2 linked regions of the Tribolium castaneum genome follow. The protein of the gene in region 1 purifies or fractionates together with the protein of each later gene. This does not show direct contact. Links are inferred from orthologs where the notes say so. Each region holds a gene or a part of one and is shown on either strand. Other genes may lie near its edges.

The links.
Region 2: the proteins of Fsn (region 1) and ago purify together in Homo sapiens (affinity purification with mass spectrometry; 4 studies listed by BioGRID and IntAct, counting the BioPlex papers as one, with this or other methods). This does not show direct contact. The link is inferred for Tribolium castaneum from reciprocal best matches to the Homo sapiens genes FBXO45 and FBXW7.

Annotation. Positions count from the first base shown.
Region 1 is NC_087398.1:7,903,853-7,911,141, reverse strand, and holds Fsn (F-box/SPRY domain-containing protein 1), read left to right. Parts: upstream 1-3,151; 5' UTR 3,152-3,234; coding exon 3,235-3,816; intron 3,817-4,485; exon of another isoform or gene 4,486-4,498; coding exon 4,499-4,589; intron 4,590-4,635; coding exon 4,636-4,730; 3' UTR 4,731-7,223; downstream 7,224-7,289. Other genes in the region: Dp (transcription factor Dp-1), read right to left, coding at 970-1,085, 1,267-1,315. UniProt on the Homo sapiens protein: Component of E3 ubiquitin ligase complex consisting of FBXO45, MYCBP2 and SKP1. Functions in substrate recognition but also plays an important role in assembly of the complex.
Region 2 is NC_087394.1:36,171,532-36,178,237, reverse strand, and holds the end of ago (archipelago), read left to right. Parts: coding exon 1-510; intron 511-728; coding exon 729-910; intron 911-963; coding exon 964-1,189; intron 1,190-3,546; exon of another isoform or gene 3,547-4,152; intron 4,153-4,201; exon of another isoform or gene 4,202-4,387; coding exon 4,388-4,598; intron 4,599-4,934; coding exon 4,935-5,220; intron 5,221-5,443; coding exon 5,444-5,447; 3' UTR 5,448-6,154; downstream 6,155-6,706. UniProt on the Homo sapiens protein: Substrate recognition component of a SCF (SKP1-CUL1-F-box protein) E3 ubiquitin-protein ligase complex which mediates the ubiquitination and subsequent proteasomal degradation of target proteins.

The sequences.
Region 1 (7,289 bases):
TAAAGCAATTTGAATAATCATTATCGATAATAAAGTGAAACGTACTAAAAAACGGAAAAGTAGTTTTTAAGAACTCTTAAGTTATACATAAAATAAACTGGATGTGGAAAATGCGCAGACGCGTGGTAAATATTGAGCAAAACTTGAAAAACCATTCATCTTCAAAATAGCCGGGCGCGGTGGACAGTGGACACACTGTATAGTACAGTAACACTTCGTTAATCCGAAGGTGATTCGGACTACAAAAAAATTCGGATTACCAGTAGCAACATAGTAATTATGTTTACAATCAGAAGAAACGTGGAAGCTTTAGTAAGCACACAAGTATAAAAATAGTTAGTAGTGGAAATTAATAACTCCCTTGAAATAATAATGATGTAGATTAATCCAATTACAGGGACAGGACAAGAAAGTGTTTAAATCGACTAGTTTTGTTACTGGCGTTGATAACACTCGATAATTTATCTAATAATTATGATTTTTGTGTTAATCTAAAAACCTATTCGGACGAGAAAAGCTTCGGACTATTGAGATATTGCTGTACCTATTAAGAGAAAAAGGGGTGACTGAAGGTGGGGTCTGAGAACCGGTTTCCGACAAAACAATCTAAAATATTTAACTTACAAGAGGTAAAAAGCTCGGTTTTTCTTCAATGACGCAACCTTATGAGTTTAACTGCTTTTGTGATCCAATAAAATTCACGAAACCATTACAAATGCGTGGCGATACTGATCTACCTCCACACAAACACGCGATAATTATGGTCAAGATAAATTAGAAACAAAAACAGAAGTAGTCGAAAATAGGCAAAGACATGCAAGAAAGATGAAAGAGATGAATGAATTGTGCAATTACCCCGAGATAAAAATTCGATCAATCGTTCGAAAACTTAGGAATAGATGTAAACAAATCCGTCTTATCTTTAACGAACTACAAACAAATTAATTTAGGGGGGAACGAGTGGAATACCTGGAGCGGTTCCTGGCTGTTCGGCGATTTGAAAATCTTCATGGGCTGCCCTGCCACCGAGGTCACAATGCCACTTATGGGCTTTCCACTGGGCTGGACCACCTTAATCATCTGCCCTGTTACAGAAAAAACGAATAAAACACGTGCACTGAACCCGCTTTTCCTCCCACATCGAGGCGGTTTCCCCCGAAACTCGGTCCTTTCCCGCCCAGCCCCCCAACCGGCAACTGTTTGCCCCCGCACCACTTCGTTGTGGGCCCCCGTTTTGGAAAAACCCCCGAACCCTTTAAAAATTACCATTGGCTCCCTGGATCACCCAGTTGGTTGTGCTGTTCTGCTGGGTCATTTTCCCTCTCGTGCGAAACACTCACTCGCCGCCCCTTTAGCACATTTCCTCAAAAACGGGACACTGTCGAAAAAGCACCGGTTTTTAAATCCGAGCTCCTCTCCATCCAACTCCAACAAAAATGGCGACTGTAACTAGGCGATATTTTGGAATTGAAATAGGCGGACCCCGCGCACCACGAATTCGGTTTAAACAACTCGCGAAGTTTCCTCGAATATCGCAATTTGCTAATTTCGCGCTTTTTAACTGCTTGCTTGCGATACAACACTTGGGGGTGTTTTTGAAGATGAGCTATTTCGTGCAAGGAAAGCCACTACCAGCTTGGCGGCGGGTACAAAGGCATCGCTCCCATTGGCTGGATTCCTTCACGTGGGACACGCTGCTCCTAGTTCGGGCAAGCGGCACGAGGGAGCGATGCGTTCGAAATATTTTGGCGCCTTTTTGCCTTGCGGCCCCCGCACGGGGCGCACGAGGCCCTGACACCGGGCAAATGCCCCGGAAAAAACACCCAGGGATGCAGTTTCAATAATACGCGGCTGTCAGGAAAGGTGCACCCACCGAACAGGCCATCGACAGAAACGTGCAAGACAGAACCTTAAATTATTAGAAAGGCAGTATTCGCTAGGTGTCGCTACTGCAAAAATACTATTTTGCACTATAATGACGAAATAGTCAGTAAATACGGTAAACACAAATGTAAAAGAATAATTATAAAATACTATTTATTACCTGTTTCGAAACCATAAAAATGCCAACATCACATTTTCTCTCAAAATTTGTTGTAATGGGTCAATTCACGACGGTATGCGTGTGGATATGGTAAATGTAATGTAGTTTTTCGACCTGTTATCTTCTTATAGATCTTAATACTAATTGTTCATACTCTTCTGACTGAATTTTTAGTCATCATAGCATGAATAGCAAAGGAAAGAAGCTCATACCCACACGCAAACCGTTATGAATTGACCCCATCAATATTTTGTAATTTTTGTTTTTATTTTTTAAAGCAAAAACCAAAAAAATACACGTTTTTAAGTAGAATATTTTTTTGGGGATTTTTTTTTTAAATCCAAATCTGTCATTGCCTTTTTCAAGACGTTCTTGATGTTAGAGTTACGACACTCAACTTTAGCCATATTTGATACTTGCATTTTTTAAAAGTTTTTTTATTTCTGCTAACAATTCGATGTATCACATAATGATCAGCAATTTTCGTAAAAATGCTTTTTCTCCATTTTGATCAGCATGTAATATTTGATCATATTTTGTGATACATCGTTGAAATCAGAAATAAAAACGACAAACGGACACCCTGTATTTATAAATATGTTTATTGCTGATTGTTTTTTACAGCCGTAAAACTATTTTTTTGTATTCTTATATTGCATATGAAATATAGATTTGTCGAACATGTAACATATAAAGAACAGTTTATTGAAAAGCTAAAGCGGCTTCAGAGGAATAAAAGTGCCGAATCAATTTTAGTAGAAACGAAAATTTAAACATTTTAAAACAACAATGAAAATTGTTGCTAAATACAAAAATTATGTAAAAATAAATACATTTCTGAAAATGAAAATGTGTCCTGGGTGTCGATTCTAAACCAATACTTCGACTCGAAAAGTGTTTTGAATGCTTCTGTTTATGATTTTTTAGATTTGACTGATTCTGCCGATGTCTGTTTCTAGAGATGTCCTGTTCTGTCGCTAATTTTTTGTTGAACACCACCTCTATTATATACGTGAATTTTTCTAGATCAGTTCGCGTCCTCAATAAACCGCGTTATTGGACGTCGTGAATGCAAATTTCGCGTGTTTATAAATAATTTAAGCGGATTTTATTGAAATCGCAATCAGTCGGTTCGAGCGGTTGGTATCGCTGTCAAGTGTCAAGTGTCAGACGGGTTGGTCCGTTCAAAAATGGATGCCGCTGTAGCATCAACATTGCCCGATAATGTGTTGGAAGTAATTTTTTCATATTTGTCTCTGCATGATTTGAGGAACTGTTCTTTAGTGTGTAAGAGATGGTATAGTTTTTTAAATGATGAAAATAACGACGTTTGGAGGCTGCACTGTATTCGGAAACTAGCCGAAGAAGCACTAAAGTCAGATTTGTTGTCTTCAGTTCCTACGTATAAAGCGAAATTGCGGGCGTTTTACCACGCCTGGAATCCGAACGACTGCTCTAGAAATATTTATATTAAGCCTAATGGGTTCACGTTACACCGAAATCCCGTAGCTCAAAGCACGGACGCTTCGAGAGGTAAAATCGGATTTAGACATGGGAGACACGCTTGGGAGGTGATCTGGGAAGGGCCCTTGGGGACGGTCGCCGTCATAGGAATTGCCACAAAAGACGCACCTCTGCAGTGTCACGGTTACGTGGCCCTGCTGGGCTCGGACGACCAGAGTTGGGGCTGGAACTTAGTTGATAATCATTTACTGCACAATGGAGATGCTCAAGGCAATTACCCGCTACTTAACAATGCCCCTAAATATCAAGTAAGTTCGCTGGTCCACCTACAGTCTGTTCTTTATTTAAACGGAAATTACCAAGTCCAAGACTCTATATTATGTAATTTTTTTATTATTTATTTTGACTGGAAATGGCAAGTTCTTTTGCCAAAACTACACCTTTTTCAACTGTATTTTAGAAATACTCAGGTTTATTTCAGAAGATGTTATTGTAATTCATATTAGTAAAGTTAAAGTTTTGATATTTTGTAGACGTTATTTATAATCTAGGACGTATTTTAGGATAATATTTTTGATTATATGGAGTGTCCCCAAAAAGAATGAGGGCATAATATTTTTTTAATGGCAAGCTTTTTTTCGTGCTCTTTAGGATACCTTTTTACCTAGTTTTTTTAAATTAGTTTGGGGATTTCAAAAAATTAAAAAAAATGGTTTTCCACCTTTAGTTTTAAAAATTAATAAAAAATAGAAACAGTGCTTTTTTGCTAACATTATTAGTACGTACGTGTTGTATAAGTTCTATTTGTAAGTTCGACACTTTACTTCTCTTGGTTAAAATTTGAAATAAGATTAATCTTGCATAACAGAAAGTGACCAACTTTTTAATTTTTAAAACTTATAATTTTTTGACGCTATTTGTTGTTTTGCGGTTGGTTTTCCGTTTAAATAAAAAACAGACTTTAGTTTTTGTCTTAGTTGGGTTTTGCAGGTTGGGGAGCGAATTCGGGTGATTTTAGATTGTGATGACAACACGCTATCTTTTGAAAAAAACTACGAGTTTTTGGGAGTGGCCTTTAGAGGTAAAGCGCTTTTTGGAGCGAGATGGTGTTTCATGAGGTGTTTCAGGATTGCCAGATAAAAAATTGTATCCAACAGTTTCTGCCGTTTACGGAAACACTGAAGTTTCAATGGTGTATCTCGGACCACCTTTAGATGGCTAACACAGCTGGAAGTTGACGTTAGTCTGTTAATTAACTGAAAAAAGGGGTTGGATGCTTCAAGATGGCTCATTCAGGACAGCAGGTTTGCCCATGTGATAATTACATTTTACTTCAGTCAGTCATACTTCCATTAAAAATGAGTATGTAGGACAATTTAAACAATGGTAGATGTAGAATTTTTATAACAGTAGACTAAGAGAGGTGCATTTGAAGTATATGTTGTCACAAACTTAACTAAATAACAGTCCACAAGGAGGAATTGATTTCGTTTTAATACGTTTTATTTATTTTTTAGATGCTACCACTTTTTACATCAAATGCACTAAGTAAATAAACATTTTGCCATATTCCGTGACCTGATTGCCACTTTTTTAACACTGAAACAGAAACATTGAGTGAGTAGACTTTTAGGGAATCAATTCAAATTGGGTGCTTTCTTGCAATTTTTTGTTGCAATATTTTCATCATTACTGCTATAAAATTGCCTCCCAGTAACAAATTTTAATAACACTGCCAAAATACAGGAGTTACGCAGCTGAAATAAAAGACAATGAAAAAAGTCGTAATTATTAAAAATTGTAATGACGTGGTTTGATATCTATCTGTTTAATGAGTATCGAAATTTGCATATGAATGCATAATGGTGTTTTTAGTGATCGTTTGACCCCAGATATGTTTTTATGCAAAGTAGAACAAACATTTTTATTGAAAAAACGGAGGTAATTTTATAGTAGCAATGACCTCCAGGACCGGATCGAGACTTTATTTATTTTTAGGAACAAATTCATCGAAAGTTCAGGATATTTTTAGACAAGGGTTGACCAAAAAATTACAAAATAAAAAAATAAATTGTTTTATCGAAAAAAAAAAAATTGAGCCTTTTACCAATAGTTTAACACATTTTGTTACAAATGAACGGAAATATCACGCGAGTGATTTAAATGTGGAGCAATTTTTGCAATTTTCGAACTTTTTTAAGTACGTTTGACATGAAATTGTTACACAAAAATTCCTGATTGGGTTAAAAATGCATTATTTTTGCGTATTTTAGCGTTTAAGTGATACTTTTTTGGTTCAAAAACAGTGATATTGTTGCTTATTTAAACACAGTCTTCTGAAGAAATATTATTTATCAGTAAGTTACTAATTGTTTTAACTTTTTACCCTCGATCCGGCCTTGGTGGTGCCAATTTTGTAGAATGACTACATTTTTGATTAATTTTTTACGTTGGCAGTCAATGTAGTCGTGTACAAGTCTCGAAAAATAAGCCATTGTTGCCTTGTAATTTCAGAACTTTGTTTTCTTGTTTGTTTCTGTGATATTTTCGAGCAAATGTTTATTTATCATGATTTTAAAATTCTTGATCTGGTATTAAGCTTGTTGTTTTTTATATTATTTATTATTTATTTTGCCACGACCAGTAGTTACGTAACTTTGTAACCATGAAATGTAAGCATATTCGTCCTCACTCTGCTTCGCAAAGTAATAAATTGATAAATGTAACTTTTTGTCATTGCAAATGCATTTTTGCTATTTGAACCCAAAATTTCCTAATGCAAACGCAAGCCTGAATATTTCAATTATTTTGGGTTTCGATAGCATCGGATATATTTTTTTATCGATGAAAGTGATGTAACTCATCTTGTACAGGTCCAAAGGTTTGGATAAGTTTGCAGATATCTAACAAATGCATTAATGAAACCATAAATTGTACTAAAGCGTATAATCTTGATTTGTTACCAATGTTTTAGGTTGTACTCTTGTAAATATGTATGTATGTACGTTTACATTTTTTCAAGTAATCGATACTTAAATAGTATTAAAATAAATTCTAGTCATTTGTATTAACGAGCTGTTAATGCGTATCTCGGCATTTTGTTCGGCTTGGATGTATGAGCACTATTCTAAAATTCAAATTGTCCACCTTGAAGTTGACGTCCTAAATATTTAAATCGAACTCCAATTGGAAGTCAATGCGTGCAGTGCAAAAACAGAAAACGCATTAATCCTGCATAATATTTTTATAAATAGACACAATTGTATCAGAATGTCTGCATTATTTATACTAGAAATATAACAAAAGGATTTTTTACTTGCATTATGCACGTTTTTAGCATTATTCAAGGACTGTTCCTTCCACGAAATCGTGTGCAGGTGCGCGCAAATGTAAATAATTTCTTGATTTTTAATATTAGGACTTTAAAAATCGCGTACTTAATTTAACGATGTTAGGGAGCACTTTGTTATTTATTTCGTATTTTAGGAAATGGCGGGATACGCTTTCGTACAAATAACGAGTTGTTCACACGAGACAAATCAATTGCGCTCGTGCGATCAACCGAAGCCTTGCATCTGTTAGTTTATTTGGTTGTGCATTTTTTACCAAGTCAATTTCATTTACAATAGTTACCATTTTTATTACAAGGTATGTGCAAGTATAGTAGGTATTTATGGTTTGTATAAATTGTTTTTAAATATAACAATAAAATGTTGCTTGCATGTTTTATTTCAACCAGTAGGTAGTGAAAGAAATTAAAAATACAAAAACTGGGTACGTA
Region 2 (6,706 bases), on another chromosome or scaffold:
CAAAAATGGTCAAACGCGGAACGAATTCTCGCAATCAGCGAACTAATCGCCCGCTGCGAACCAACTCAAGTCCGTCATATGATGCAAGTGATTGAACCACAATTCCAACGAGATTTCATCTCATTATTACCACGCGAGTTGGCTTTGAACGTTTTATCATTTCTCGAACCGAAAGACCTTTTACGTGCAGCACAAACTTGTCGCAGTTGGCGTTTCCTGGCTGAAGATAATCTACTGTGGAAGGAAAAGTGTCGGCAAGCAGGCATTGATGAAATACCTAAACGGAGGTGCTCACCTAGGTCTCCTGGAACGCAAATGTCGCCATGGAAAGCTGCCTACATGAGACAACATGCCATTGAAATGAACTGGAGGAGCAAACCGATCAGGCCGCCTAAGATGCTAAAAGGACACGATGATCATGTGATCACGTGCTTGCAGTTCTGTGGGAATCGCATTGTGAGCGGATCGGATGATAATACGCTCAAAGTTTGGTCAGCGATCACAGGAAAGGTAAAAAAAAAATATTTTTTTTTGTGAGAAATTTTGTTATTCAGCACTCGCATCCATTAGTTATTTTAATTGATGTTTTAGAATTATTTTTTTAAGTAAATTATATTAAAAATAACTTGTTGAGATCGATGCAGAAAAAAATTATTAACACTTTTTTCATTAACTAAACCGTATTTGCATCTTCTTAAGTGGCAAATTTTGTACGAGTGTTGTTGTAGTGTTTGCGCACTTTGGTGGGGCACACTGGAGGCGTTTGGTCGTCTCAGATGTCCGGTGCGACAATAATCAGTGGCAGTACTGATAGAACACTGAAGGTGTGGGACGCCGAAACGGGCGATTGTATTCATACGCTCAACGGACACACTTCAACTGTACGGTGTATGCATTTACACGGAAACAAGTAAGAGAATAGTATTTTTTTAAAATTGTTTTTAATTTGTGTCGTTGTTTAAGGGTTGTGAGTGGTTCTCGTGATGCAACTTTAAGGGTGTGGGATATTAAAACTGGGGCATGTCTTCATGTTCTTGTGGGACATTTAGCCGCTGTACGATGTGTTCAATATGATGGCCGATTGGTGGTTTCTGGAGCTTATGATTATATGGTTAAAGTTTGGAATCCAGAACGAGAGGAGTGTTTGCACACGTTACAAGGTCATACAAATCGTGTCTATTCATTACAGGTGCGTTAATAACTTGGTAACTTTTAGTTTAGTGAAATTACAAAAAAAAATATAAACTTACACTAGCAAAGTTTTGTGGACTTTTATATTTCTTAACAACCCATTCGAGTTGTTTAAAGTTGAAAAAAAGTTAATTGGTTCGATTTTTAATTTTAATTTTTAATTTTTTTAATTTTTGTCGTGATTTTGGTCGATTTCGGGTACCTGGAACATTTATCGAGCAATAGCTCCGGAACTATTAGAGAGAACCTTTAATTAGCTCTTTAAATTATCTATCTTTTTTAGAAAAGAACATTGTCCTCCGGCTAATAGTTTTCGAGAAAATTGCAAATAAATGCAAAAATTGGTAAAATTTTAAAAAATTCATAACTAAAAAACTATTGGGAATTTGGCAATTTTCTCGATGCCAATCGATTCCCCGGATCATTTCGCATAGGTATGGATCAAAACAGTTCCACTTTTTAGAATAGTTTAGCCGTAAATGAGAAAATAAAAAAAACATTTTGTTAACACAAAAAAACATTTTAATCAAATGAAACCTATTCTATCTTATAGATTTTGATGTGCTCTTTACGATGGAACAAACCGTTTTCTTCTGGCTCTTTTAGTTTGGCCGTAATCGGCGATTGAAAATTGAAAAATTGAGATATCGCCTTGAGTCCCATGACATTTTTATTCCGGTTATCCTCCATTTTTTCGTTTCTCGATATCTTTAATAGTTTCGCCGTAATTGGCGATTGAAAATTGAAAAAAAGTGAAAATGGAAACCTTTTTTTGCGTTTTTCTCGGAAACTGTAAGACTTAGAGCAACGAACAAAAAACCATCTGATAGCGCTTAATTTTATCTATTTTTTCGACCAAACCCGGAGCCGCTCCGGGCAACGGTTCTGGCTACAGAGGCGATCAAAGTTTTTCACTAAAAAATTCATTAAAAAAAAACTAAAAGTCGTAGAGCATTGCGGTTTGTTCGATTGAATTCTACGGCTCATTTTACATATTATATCGATTTTTTACAAGAATTAAAAATTTAAAACTTTTTGCCTAAATTTAGGGTAGCCATTTGTCATAATGAAAAATTTTATTTATTAAGAAAATTCATAACTCGAAAACTAAAAGTCGTAGAGCAGTGCGGTTTATTCCATTGGATTCAGCGGCTTTTTTTCTCTATTATACTAATTTTTCACGCAATTTAAAATTTTCAATTTTTTTGCTCAAATTTCCTGAGTACCTCAAGAGGTGAAAAAAATATTTTTTTTTAACTAACTCCAGCAAATTTTTATGGACTTCTACATGTCTTAACAACCCACAAAAGTTGTTAAAAGTCCACAAAAAGTCCAAATGTTCGATTTTTTGATGTTTGATTTTTTCAATTTTCGTCGCAATTTTTGTTGATTTTGGGTACCCGGAACATTTGTCGAGCAATAGCTCCGGAACTATTAGAGATAACCCCATGAAGTGTATTATCGTTGGAAAGCTCTTTAAATTATCTATTTTTTTCAAAAAAGATTATTGTTCTCCGACTAATAGTTTTCGAGCAAATTGCTGCTAAATGCAAAATTTGGTAAAATTTTAAAAAATTCATAACTAAAAAACTGTTGGGAATTTGGCAATTTTCTTGATGCCAATCGATTCCCCGGATCATTTTGCATAGGTATGGATCAAAACAGTTTCACTTTTTAGAATATTTTAGCCGTAAATGAGAAAATAAAAAAAAATAAAAAAAAGTTAACACCCCCCCCCTTAAAACCGGTCAATTTTTAAAGTGTCTCAAAATTAAATGAAACCTATTCTATCTTATAGATTTTGATGTGCTCTTTTCGATCTAAAAAAGCGTTTTCTCCTAGCTCTTTTAGTTTGGCCGTAATCGGCGTTTGAAAATTGAAAATTTTTTTGCGAGATATCGCCTTGAGTCTTATGCCATTTTGTAGAGTTTTTTATTCCGGTTGTCCTCGATTTTTCCGTTTTTCGATAACTCTAATAGTTTCGCCGTAATTGGCGGTTAAAAATTGAAAAAAAGTGAAAATGGAAACCTTTTTTTGCGTTTTTCTCGGAAACTGTAAAACTTAGAGCAACGAACAAAAAACCATCTGATAGCGCTTAATTTTATCTATTTTTTCGACCAAACCCCGAGCCGGTACGGGCAACGGTTCCGGCTACAGAGGCGATCAAAGTTTTTCACTAAAAAAATTCATAAAAAAAAAACTAAAAGTCGTAGAGCATTGCGGTTTGTTCGATTGAATTCTACGGCTCATTTTACATATTATATCGATTTTTCACAAGAATTAAAAATTTAAAATTTTTTGCCTAAATTTAGGGTAGCCATTTGTCATTGTGAAAAATTTTATTCATTAAAAAAATTCATAACTCAAAATCAAAAAGTCGTAGAGCAATGCGGTTTGTTCCATTGAATTCAGCGGCTCATTTTCTGTATTATACCAACTTTTCACGAGATTTAAAATTTTCAATTTTTTTGCTCAATTTCCTGAGTAAAATACACTTACCTTCAAAGAGGTGAAAAAAAATTTTTTTTTAAACTAACTCCAGCAAATTCTTATGGACTTCTACATGTCTTAACAACCCACTAAAGTTGTTAAAAGTCCAAATATTCGATTTTTTATGTTTGATTTTTTCAATTTTCGTCGCAATTTTTGTCAATTTTCGGTACCCGGAACATTTATTTATTTATTTATAGATAACCTTATGAAGTTTATTATCGTTGGAAAACTCTGTTAATTATCTATCTTTTAAAAAAAAGGACATTGCTCTCCGACTAATAGTTTTCGTAAAAATTGCAAACAGAAACAAAAAAAATCGTTTTCAAAATTTATTTTTTTTACAAATGATTAATGAGTGTATTTAAACTTAATCAAGTGTTGAGAAGAAAGTATTTTGTTTTAGATTGTGGTGATAAATCTGTATCCGAAAATTTAAAAAAATTAAAAAACATCAACCGTACTTATAATGTAAATAACTATTAAAATTACAACAACATTGTATGTAATATTATTGTAGATTTTTGTTTACGGGTCCAATGATTACGTAGTAAAAGGTTTGAGGTTTATGTCGAGTTCCATATTAAGATATGTTGAACTCCAGAATCAGATGATGACAGTTTTGAATGAGGGCCATAATGAAACATTTCATTCATTATAATTAGTTGTTTTACTTTAATTTAATTGTTTTTTGTTAATTTTCTAGTTTGATGGCGTTCATGTGGTCAGCGGTTCTTTGGATACGAGCATTCGAGTGTGGGAAGTTGAGACGGGAGCTTGCAAACATACGCTTATGGGTCACCAGTCCCTAACATCCGGTATGGAATTACGAAATAATATTTTAGTGTCCGGAAATGCCGATTCCACCGTTAAAGTTTGGGACATAGTGACCGGTCAGTGCCTACAAACCCTTTCAGGTAAGATTCTTGCACCTCTTTTGTAACATCACTGTTACAAAATACTCTTAATTATCATTAAAATAAGCAAATGCAGTTATAGTGTAGTGTAATTATATTCCTATGTTTATTATTAAAAAAAAAAAAAAAAAAACTCGCAGCATGCCCTGATACTTGTAGAACAATTTTTATCATTGTATTGTTGGTTGTCTACTAAACCATTTTATTATATTTTATTAAGCTGTTCTTTTAATTTCATTTTATACTGTTGTGTTAAAATATGTAATTAAATAGCAGTGAATTAAGCAAATTGAGTAATAAACAAATGTAGATTTGATGTTACTTTCCATTTTCCAGGACCATACAAACATCAGTCAGCCGTAACTTGCCTCCAATTCAACAATCGTTTTGTGATAACTTCCTCGGATGATGGAACTGTAAAATTATGGGACGTTCGCACCGGCGAGTTCATCAGAAACCTGGTGGCTTTGGACAGTGGTGGCTCAGGAGGCGTTGTGTGGCGGATTCGCGCCAACGACACGAAACTAGTGTGCGCGGTTGGAAGTCGTAACGGCACAGAAGAAACAAAACTACTAGTGTTGGACTTTGATGTCGATTCTAACTCCAGTACCATCATTTCTAGGTAATTACAGACTGCAAAAAATTGTATGAGTGCGCGTGTTTGTAGACCTACGACTTTTAAAAAGCATACTACTGATGTTGCTATCAAATTTCATGTCTTTGACAAACCCAATAATTTCAACTACTAAACGTTTTCAGAAACACTTAATGGTGTAATTCTGTGATATTACGTTTAATTTAGGCGACATCAACAGTATGCGAATTTTAACGACTTGTTATTTCAGCTGAGGAGTTTTTTTCAAAAATCTGGTGCTGTTGAGTCCGGAAGTTTCTTTTGTGTTGTGTCCAAAGTACAAATACTGTTTTAGGATGATGAGTTTGCAATATTTCCACACTCGTTGTTTGTTTAATTGTAAAATTCCTAAATTTACATGACATGATTTGCACCAGAGAGACTGATTGTAAGTTTTAAGTTAATGGCATTTTAAGTAAAATTACCACATTAGTTTGTTTACAACGAGTAATAGGCCAAGTGATTGGTAATTGTATCACGTGGTTTATTACGAAAGGAGATTGTTTTTTTAGTGAGAGACGATGTGGTTCATGCTCAAGATTCTTGTCATAGCTCAACATAATTGTATATAGTCGAACATAATCCGTTTCATCATACATCACTAGTTTAATTAGTATTTTTCTCAATTAATTTACTCAAGTTAAGTATTTTTAATTAGCTCTTGTCAAAATGTCTAATAGTTTAGTCGGCAATCGAAATTTTAACAATTTTAGGAATCCATGTTTTATATACGAAAATAGTATCAAATAAGAAGAGACGCTTAGATTCTTTTAAGTCGGATTTTTTCGTTTCGTTCAGACTTTTCAAATTTCCTCGTTTTTGGTTGGTGAATTTTAATGTAATCATTTCAAAGTCTGGTGTTGTTAATGTTATAATTTCTTATCTGTATTTGTTGTATTTATTTTATAAAACAATTACTCTTATCTTACGGACTTTTATTTCACCTGACCTTCTAATCCTCAAGAATTAAAAAAAATTGGTAGTTTAAGTTCAAGTTCAATTTTATAAAAATATTGCAAAATTTTAAAAATGCATTTCGTATCAGGATCACAGGAACGCAATGAAAATTCTCAAGAATTTTGCAAAATATTTTCCTTTTTTTTTCATTTCTAAAATTTTTCATAAAAATTTACGAAAATCTGCAATTCACAAAATGCGAAATATCTCCGTTCCTGTAGGAGATAGAGGGGTGGTTCTGCCCTTTTGAAAACCCTACCGCCCCGTAGTATTTTTCCCGGGCTATCGAATGGGATAGGTCCCGTTCCCGTATCTCCATCAGGAACCGAGATAGCACTGCACATTTTTATATCGAGAATCGAAGCACATGACGTAATAGTGCTTCAAAAGTTACGTATGCACACAAAATTTCAAGTCGCTACGATAACGGGAAGTGCCTCAAATTTGAGTTCAAAATATTTATAATTTCAGAATGACAACAAAGAATTTTAATTGTCGCCATCTAAGCATGATATTG